Macaca fascicularis: one gene and its partner. The protein of the gene in region 1 purifies or fractionates together with the protein of each later gene. This does not show direct contact. Links are inferred from orthologs where the notes say so. Each region holds a gene or a part of one and is shown on either strand. Other genes may lie near its edges. The genes, in order: EIF2AK3 and TBL2.

Evidence for each region.
Region 2: the proteins of EIF2AK3 (region 1) and TBL2 purify together in Homo sapiens (affinity purification with western blotting; 3 studies listed by BioGRID). This does not show direct contact. The link is inferred for Macaca fascicularis from reciprocal best matches to the Homo sapiens genes EIF2AK3 and TBL2.

The regions. Positions count from the first base shown.
Region 1 is NC_088387.1:22,339,126-22,343,034, forward strand, and holds the start of EIF2AK3 (eukaryotic translation initiation factor 2-alpha kinase 3), read left to right. Parts: upstream 1-1,405; 5' UTR 1,406-1,594; coding exon 1,595-1,899; intron 1,900-3,909. UniProt on the Homo sapiens protein: Metabolic-stress sensing protein kinase that phosphorylates the alpha subunit of eukaryotic translation initiation factor 2 (EIF2S1/eIF-2-alpha) in response to various stress, such as unfolded protein response (UPR).
Region 2 is NC_088377.1:52,443,547-52,447,455, reverse strand, and holds the start of TBL2 (transducin beta-like protein 2), read left to right. Parts: upstream 1-1,352; 5' UTR 1,353-1,382; coding exon 1,383-1,509; exon of another isoform or gene 1,510-1,928; intron 1,929-3,909.

The DNA of each region.
Region 1 (3,909 bases):
ATAATCTAGTATACCCATATTGCCAACACTTTAACACATCTTCACTGGTTTTGGACCAGGTGCAGTGGGTAATGCCTGTAATCCCAGAACTTTGGGAGGCTGAGGCAGGAGGATGGCTTGAGGCCAACCTGGGCAACACAGAAACCCCATCTTTACAAAACAAAATTAAAAATTGGCCTAGCACGCATCTATAGTCCCAGCTGCTCCAGAAGCTGAGGCAGGAAGATCGCTTGAACGCAGGAATTCAAGGTTACAGTGAGCTATGATCAAGCCACTGCACTCCAGCCTGGGCAAAAGAGCAAGACCCTCTCTCTAAAAAAATTTTTTTTTAATGTTCACTGGTTTTGATGCGGGTAATAGCCTCCCGGCTAGTTTCCTCATCATTGATGCTGTCACTGCTGAAGATGCATTTTCTTATCACTTCACTCATCTGCTCAAAAATCTTCAGGAAGTCTTGACTTGCAGTATTAAAAGTTCAAATGCCTTGGCTGAACATTCCAATCTTCTCCACTCTGCCCTTTTGCAGTTTCATCACTGTCTTTGGTGAGGTACAAAGCGTGCCAGGTCAGAGTCAGAAGACATGAATTAAAGTCATGATTCTGTGACCAACCAGCTATGTGATCTTAGGCAAAATACGTCAGTGCACCGGGCCGGGGCTCCTTCCCGTTCCTAAGGAGGCGGGAGGCGTGTCGGGTAGACTGGATTGTCGCAAGTCACTGTCATCTCTAACAAGCGGACTTCTGAGCACAGTTGCGGCCACAAGTAGGCCCATCTCCTGCACCCTCCTTACCCTTCCACTTCTAGGGGCCACACGACTTCTATGGCCACTTCTTCCTACTTCGCTTTTGCCTTCCTAAGTAGACTAGGCTTTAGAAGAGCTACAATGCCAGCTCCTTTAAGGTCGACCTCCTGCCGCTCATAAGGGACTTGCCTCCCACTCTTCACTTGGGACCGTCCCTTCACTTGGGACCGTCCTCTTCACAGTCAGAATCCGCCACGTAGTAAGTGCCGCTTCCAACCAATCAAGAGGCAGTTAGCGCAGACCTTTGAGGGATATCCACTTCCACCAATGATCTTGAAGTTTTCTCCAGCGCCTTGCTTTGTGGGGCGAGGCCAACCACCGCGATGGCCAATCTGTTGCAGGAAAGGTATTCCGGGAACTGATGAGCACACCAATCAGGTAAAAAGACGTCGGGGAGGGGCATTTCTCATTGGTAATTGCGTCCGGAAGAGGGACGGGCCTCGAACGACGCAATTACGATTTGATTGGTTGGTGCGATGTTGACAACCAGGGAAAGTCCGCCTTCCCCAACAAGGCCAGCCTGGGAACCTAGAGTGGCAGCGGCCGCAGCCAATGAGAGAGCAGAAGCGCGGAAAGTTTGCTCAATGGGTGATGTCCGAGAGAGGCTGTCACTCAGGTGGCAGCGGCAGAGGCCGGGCTGAGACGTGGCCAGGGGAACACGGCTGGCTGTCCAGGCCGTCGGGACGGCGGTAGGGTCCCTAGCGCGTCTTTGCCTTGGTGAGAGCTCCGAGCGGCGGGAAAGGCAGACGCCAGTGGCTGCGCCTCCATGCCTGCGCGCGGGGCGGGCCGCTGATGGAGCGCGCCACCCGCCCGGGGCTGCTGGTACTGGCGCTGCTGCTGCCGCTGCTGCTGGGGCTCGCGGCATGGACTGTGGCCGCGGGGCGCGCCCGTGGCCTCCCAGCGCCGACGGCGGAGGCGGCGTTCGGCCTCGGGGCGGCCGCTGCTCCCACTTCAGCGACGCGAGTACCGGCGGCGGGCGCCGTGGCTGCGGCCGAGGTGACTGTGGAGGACGCTGAGGCGCTGCCGGCGGCCGCGGGCGAGCAGGAGCCGCGGGGTCCGGAACCAGACGATGAGGCAGAGTTGCCACCGCGCGGCAGGTGAGGGGCTGCCGACCCTGGGGAGGCAACTTGTTTACGCGCGCGAGCTGCGGAGGATGCGGTGTCAGGGGGCGGAGATCCGGTACCCGGGCGGGCGTCTTCCTTCGGCTGCGAGGGCACCTGGCGACTTGGGGACGAGCGCGGGGCCACGACGCCCTCCCATCCCCCGGCCAGCGACCTGCCTGGGCTCGGCTCCCGAGCGCCTGGTCCTGGCCGACGGGTGAGAGCAGCATCCTCGCAGGTGCGGGAGAATGAAATTCCAGGGTTGCAAAGAAACGCCACTTCCCCTCTTTCATTGTTTTCGAGCATTGATTATCTTCCAAGGAACCTTTCCCTCTTTTTCCTTACTCACATCGCCTCCTGTCTGTGCTGGCGTAACAGCTGTTTTGAGAAAGGACTTTAGCAAAAGACGTCTGCATTTTCCTTCAAACACAACTATGTAGTGCACCCAGGCAAGGATTGAGATCAGTGTCTCTCTAATTGAGATCTGCGGAACACCTGCATCCGAATCACCTGGGGGTGCTGGTGAAATCTGCAGTTTTCTAGGGCCCACCCCAGTTTTACTGAATCAGACATTCCCTGGGTAAGAGCCTGACATCTGCATGTTTAACAAGCACTCCGGGTAATTCTTGCACGCTAAAGTTTAAGAGCTGTAGTCAAATTCTTGAATATTGATTCTTGAACCTAAGAGCCGTAGTTGGGTTCTTGAATAAGGGGGGTTTACTGTATAAACATTTAATATAGGGTTTTCTTTGAGTTTCTCAGCATTCAAAAAATATTGCTTCAAGGTGATTGTTTTAAAGCACTTTTCAAAGTCTAGACACAATGTAAGGCATGTTAACAGTAAATTTCTGGGACAGCCAATCTTATCACACCCGTGGAGAAAGTGATGTCCCATTTTATAAATGGAGTGTTAAAGGGAGCATTAAGTAAATTAAACCAGGGAAGGCTGGGCTCTGGATTGGAACATATTTTAGACTTATAATATAGTCATTACTAGATCATAACAAGTTAGATTTAATTTTAAATTAATATTAGAACTTTGATCTATATATCTACAGACTACTATAAATAAGATAGGTACCAAAATTCTCTAGGCACCATTTGAATATATAAACATTTGTTAAAAAAAAAAAAAGTGTGTGTATATATATGTATATGTGTGTGTATATATATATGTGTATATATATATAAAAAAAACAAAGTTTTCTTAGGTTTGCTAATGACTCAATTTTCCTGGAAGAGTGTTTTTGTTTATCATAAAGAAATTTCTGAAGCTCCTGCTCAAAATGAATTACATGAAGTAGAGTTTTGTTTTTCTTAGAATTCAAATCCACTTCAACAGGTACTTACTGGTTAACAAGAGCCCAAGGATGCCCTGGGTGACGGAGGTCAGGCAGGTAGATCCTGCCTTCCAGGAGAGTGTGCAGTCTAACAGTAAGGATGAAACGAGAAGATCTATAACAGCATTACAGACCAGAAACAGTGCCAGTGTCAGGGATGTCCCAGGGTTTTTGTGGTATTCTACTAGGTGAGGTATGGGATTGGGGATAGGTAACAAGATAAGAGAAGGTTGTGGCAGAATGTATTGGTTCCTGAAAAATGGGAAAATTGTAATGGACAGTCACTGGACTTGAGGAAACAGCAAGAGGCACAGAGGCTGGAGATTATGTTTGGAAAACATTTTGTCTATGTATATGTTTATTTGTGTGTGTGTGTGTATGTACGTAAGAGATATTGACATGCACGTATGTATGCTAGGCAGGGAGAAGTAGATGAGGCTAGAAAAATAGGTTAGAGCTGACTGTGTATATGTATACAGCCTGATGCTAATAGCATCATGGTCACTTGGGAGTATGTTAAAAATCCGGAGTCGGGCACCACCCCACACTCCCTGAATGAGAGTGTCTGCATTTTAACAAGATCACCGTGTGATTCACATGCACGTTAAAGTTTGAGAAATGTTGGGTAGAGTATCCTGAGTGCCAGGCTTGATCAAAATTACGCCTA
Region 2 (3,909 bases), on another chromosome or scaffold:
ACTCGGGAGGCGGAGGTTGCAGTGAGCCGAGACGCGTCACTGCACTCCAGCCTGAGCAACAGAATGAGACTCCGTCTCAAAAGTAAATAAATAAATAAAATGTTTTCTATTTAAAATTCTCCCTTTTAACTTTCCACTTGCCAGGCCATCTCCAAATCCAGGTCCCCGTCACCTCCCTCTCGGATCCTTGAAGTCACTGCCGGTTTTCTGTATTTGGTCTTTTCACACAAAGGTCCATCCAGGGAATCATCAGACACAGCTTTTGCCCCACCTCTCCCTGTAATGAGCAGCTTGTTGGGTGGAGTCAGCGCTCAACGTCCCCCAGACCTTTCCACCCCTCTCGCATTTCCCACATCCCAGCTTCTCAGGTCTTTGCAGAGGCTGTTCCACACCACACACCTGGCCTACTCTTCCCCCTTCTCCACCAGCAGTAAAAGTAAAAGCCGGTCTCATCTTTCGCTGATGCTGAGTTTCCTGTTCGTTAAATGGTAATAATAATCCCCGCCCGCTTCCTTGAGAGGATCCAGTGTGGTGATGGCTGGAATAACGCCTTTAATAAACAATTATCAGTGAGTTCCTCAGGAGGAGGCGTGAACAGGGGTTGCAAATCCCGCCTTCCTCCGCCCTCCGCGGTTCTGCAACCTCAACCGCCAGGCGACCCGCCCCTCGAAACGTACCAAGTAATCGGGCCTCGCCCCTCGAGATGTTCTACCGCCAGGCCCCGCCCCTCGAGACGCTCTACCTCCGGGTTCTGCCCCTTAAGATGCGCTAACAACCCAGCCCCGCCCCTCGAGACGCTCTAACTCCAGGCTCCGCCTCTCGAGGCGCTCTAATAACTAGGATCCGCGCTTGGAGATACTCTAACTCCAGGCCCCGCCCCTGGAGACGTTCTCTAACTCCAGGCCCCGCCCCTCGAGACGCTCTAACCCAGGCTCTGTCCCTCCAGGCGCTTTAACAACCAGGTCCCGCCCCTCGAGACGCTCTACCTCTGGGTTCGGCCCCTCGAGACGCTCTAACCCAGGCTCCGCCCCTCGAGGCGCTTTAATAACCAGGTTCCTCTCCTCGAGACGCTCTAACGGCCAGGCTCCGCCTTCAAGGAGCTCTAACAATCAGGCCCCGCCCCTCGAGACGCTCTAACAGTCAGGCCCCGCCCCTCTAGCGCCCCAACAGCTGGGCCCCACCCGTTGAGACGCTCTAACGGCCAGGCCCCGCCCTGAAGGTATTATAACAACCAGGCTCCGCCCCCAGGCGCTCTAACGGCCAGGCCCCGCCGCTCGAGGCGCCCCAACGGCCAGGCCCCGCCCCCGCGTGCGTGCGCGACTCCGCAGAGCCGTGCGGGCGCCCGCGTACTCACTGGCTGAGGTGGCAGTGGCCCCGCCAACATGGAGCTCTCGCAGATGCCGGAGTTCATGGGGCTGTCGGTGTTGCTTGGGCTGCTGGCCCTGATGGCGACCGCGGCGGTAGCGCGGGGGTGGCTGCGCGCGGAGGAGAGGAGCGGCAGGCCCGCCTGTAAGTGGGGCCGGGTCGGGTGGGGGCGACCCGCGTGACCTCCTCGTGGTCCGAGCTGTGGTTTGGGCCCGCGGCTGTTGGGGCTCGGCGACTCCATGGGCCTCAGTTTCTCCTCTGGTGACGTGAGCTTCGCTTCCAGAGACGAGGGCCCGCCTCGCCGGGCTAGGCGCACCCCCTGGGGCAGGACTGGCTCCAACCTGGGCCCCGCGCTGCGACTTTCACCGTCGCCCAGGCTAGGCCGTCCCCGGGGTGGCCAGGAGAGCACCGTAAACTCTTCAGCGATCTCAGAAAAAGCACCAATTCTGTGATGTGTGGCAGCATTTGCTGGGCATCTATGACCCTGTGATAGGCTTTGGGGTCTTTTTCTGTAAGGAGTCCAGTAAAGGAGAAGTACATCTGCGTGATGAACACCTAAACATGTAAGTGAAAAACAGTGAAATAAGTTTCATTGAGGCCAGGCGCGGTGGCTCACGCCTGTATTCCCAGGACTTTGGGAGGCCGAGGCAGGGAGATCGCTTGAGCCCAGGAATTTGAGACCAGCCTGAGCAACATAGCAAGACTCCATCTCTACGAAAAATTAGCTGGGTGTGGTTGTGCACGCCCCTGTAGTCCCAGCTCCATGGGAGGCCGAGGCAGGAGGGTGGCGTGAGTCCAGGAGTTCAAGGCTGCAGTGAGCTGTGATCAATCGCGCCACTGCACTCCAGCCCAGGTGACAGCAAGAGCCTGTCTCTGAAAAGTTTCATAGAAGAGGTTAGTACTGGAAACGGGAAACACCAGAGAGGGAATGGGCAGCCCTGCTCTTTTTATGTTTGAGACAGAGTTTCGCTCTTCTTGCCCAGGCTGGAGTACAGTGGCAGGATCTTGGCTCACTGCAACCTCCGCCTCCCGGGTTCCAGCAATTCTTCTGCCTCTGCCTCCCGAGTAGCTGGGACTACAGGCACACACACCACCAGGCCTGAGGAATTTTTGTATATTTAGTAGACACGGGATTTTGCCACGTTGGTCAGACTGGTCTCGAACTCCTGACCTCAGGTGATCCACTCGTCCTGGCCTCCAAAAGTGCTGGGATTACAGGTGTGAACCACTGTGCCCAGCCAGCCCTGCTCCTTTTTTTTTTTTTTTTTTTTTTGGTGACGGAGTCTTGCTCTGCCTCCCAGGCTGGAGTGCAGTGGCGCGATCTTGGCTCACTGCGAGTTCCGCCTCCCAGGCTCATGCCATTCTCCTGCCTCAGCCTCCTGAGTAGCTGGGACTACAAGCGTCCACCACCACCACGCCCGGCTAATTTTTTGTATTTTTTAGTAGAGACGGGGTTTCACCGTGTTAGCCAGAATGGTCTCGATCTCCTGACCTCATGATCTGCCTGCTTTGGCCTCCCAAAGTGCTGGGATTATAGGCATGAACCACTGTTCCCCGCCCAGCCCTGCTCTTTTACTGGGGAGGTGGTTGTTAGAGAAATCATTACTGAGAATAGGGGCACATGAGGTAGTGTGGGGTCTCAAAGGATGGTTCTAGAATAAGAGTTTGCCGCAAAGCCAAGGAAAAAAGACATTCCTGCCAATGGCAATACCCGAGCAGGCAAGGAGTCCCCAAACAGCATTTGGTATGACTTAAGTGTGAGGAGGGGGGCTTGTTAGACAAGCCTGGAGAGAAGGAAGCAGAGGACAGATTGTGGCTCTGTTTGTATGCAGGGCTCAGGAGCTTTTTTCCTGTTGGAATTGGGGAGCATCTGCAGTCATTTAACACATGCTAGCTTTGTGACTCAAGTATCTTATGCAAAAGTGATTGGCTCCACTCTCCAGCACAGGGCTCAACAGATGTTGACTTCTCCACCCCGAGTTCTTTTGGGTGCTGGAGTGCAGTGACGCAATCTGGGCTCACTGCAACCTCCACCTCCTGGGTTCAAGCAATTCTCCTGACTCAGCCTCCTAAGTAGCTGAGATTGCAGGCGCCTGCCACTGTGCCCGGCTAATTTTTGTATGTTTAGTAGAGACGGGGTTTCACCATGTTGGCCAGGCTGGTCTGGAACTCCTGGGCATCAAGATGATCCAGCTGCCTCAGCCTCCCAAAGTGCTGGGATTACAGGCGTGAGCCACCACGCCCAGCCTCCATAAAGCCTTTAATGCTTGTGTTTGGTACTTTTGCTTGTCATTTTGTAGATATCTCATCCAATTCAATCTCCCTTATTTTTGTTTATTTATATCTTTTTTGAGACAGAATCTCATTCCGTTCCCCAGGCCGGAATACAGTGGCGTGATCACTGCATTCGAACTCCTGGGCTCAAGCAATTTTCCCTCCTCAGCCTCCGAATAGCTGGGACCACAGGCGCATGCCACCATTCCCAGCTAATTAAAGTTTTCTGTAGAGACGGGGTGTCACTCTGTTAACCAGGCTGGTCTCCAA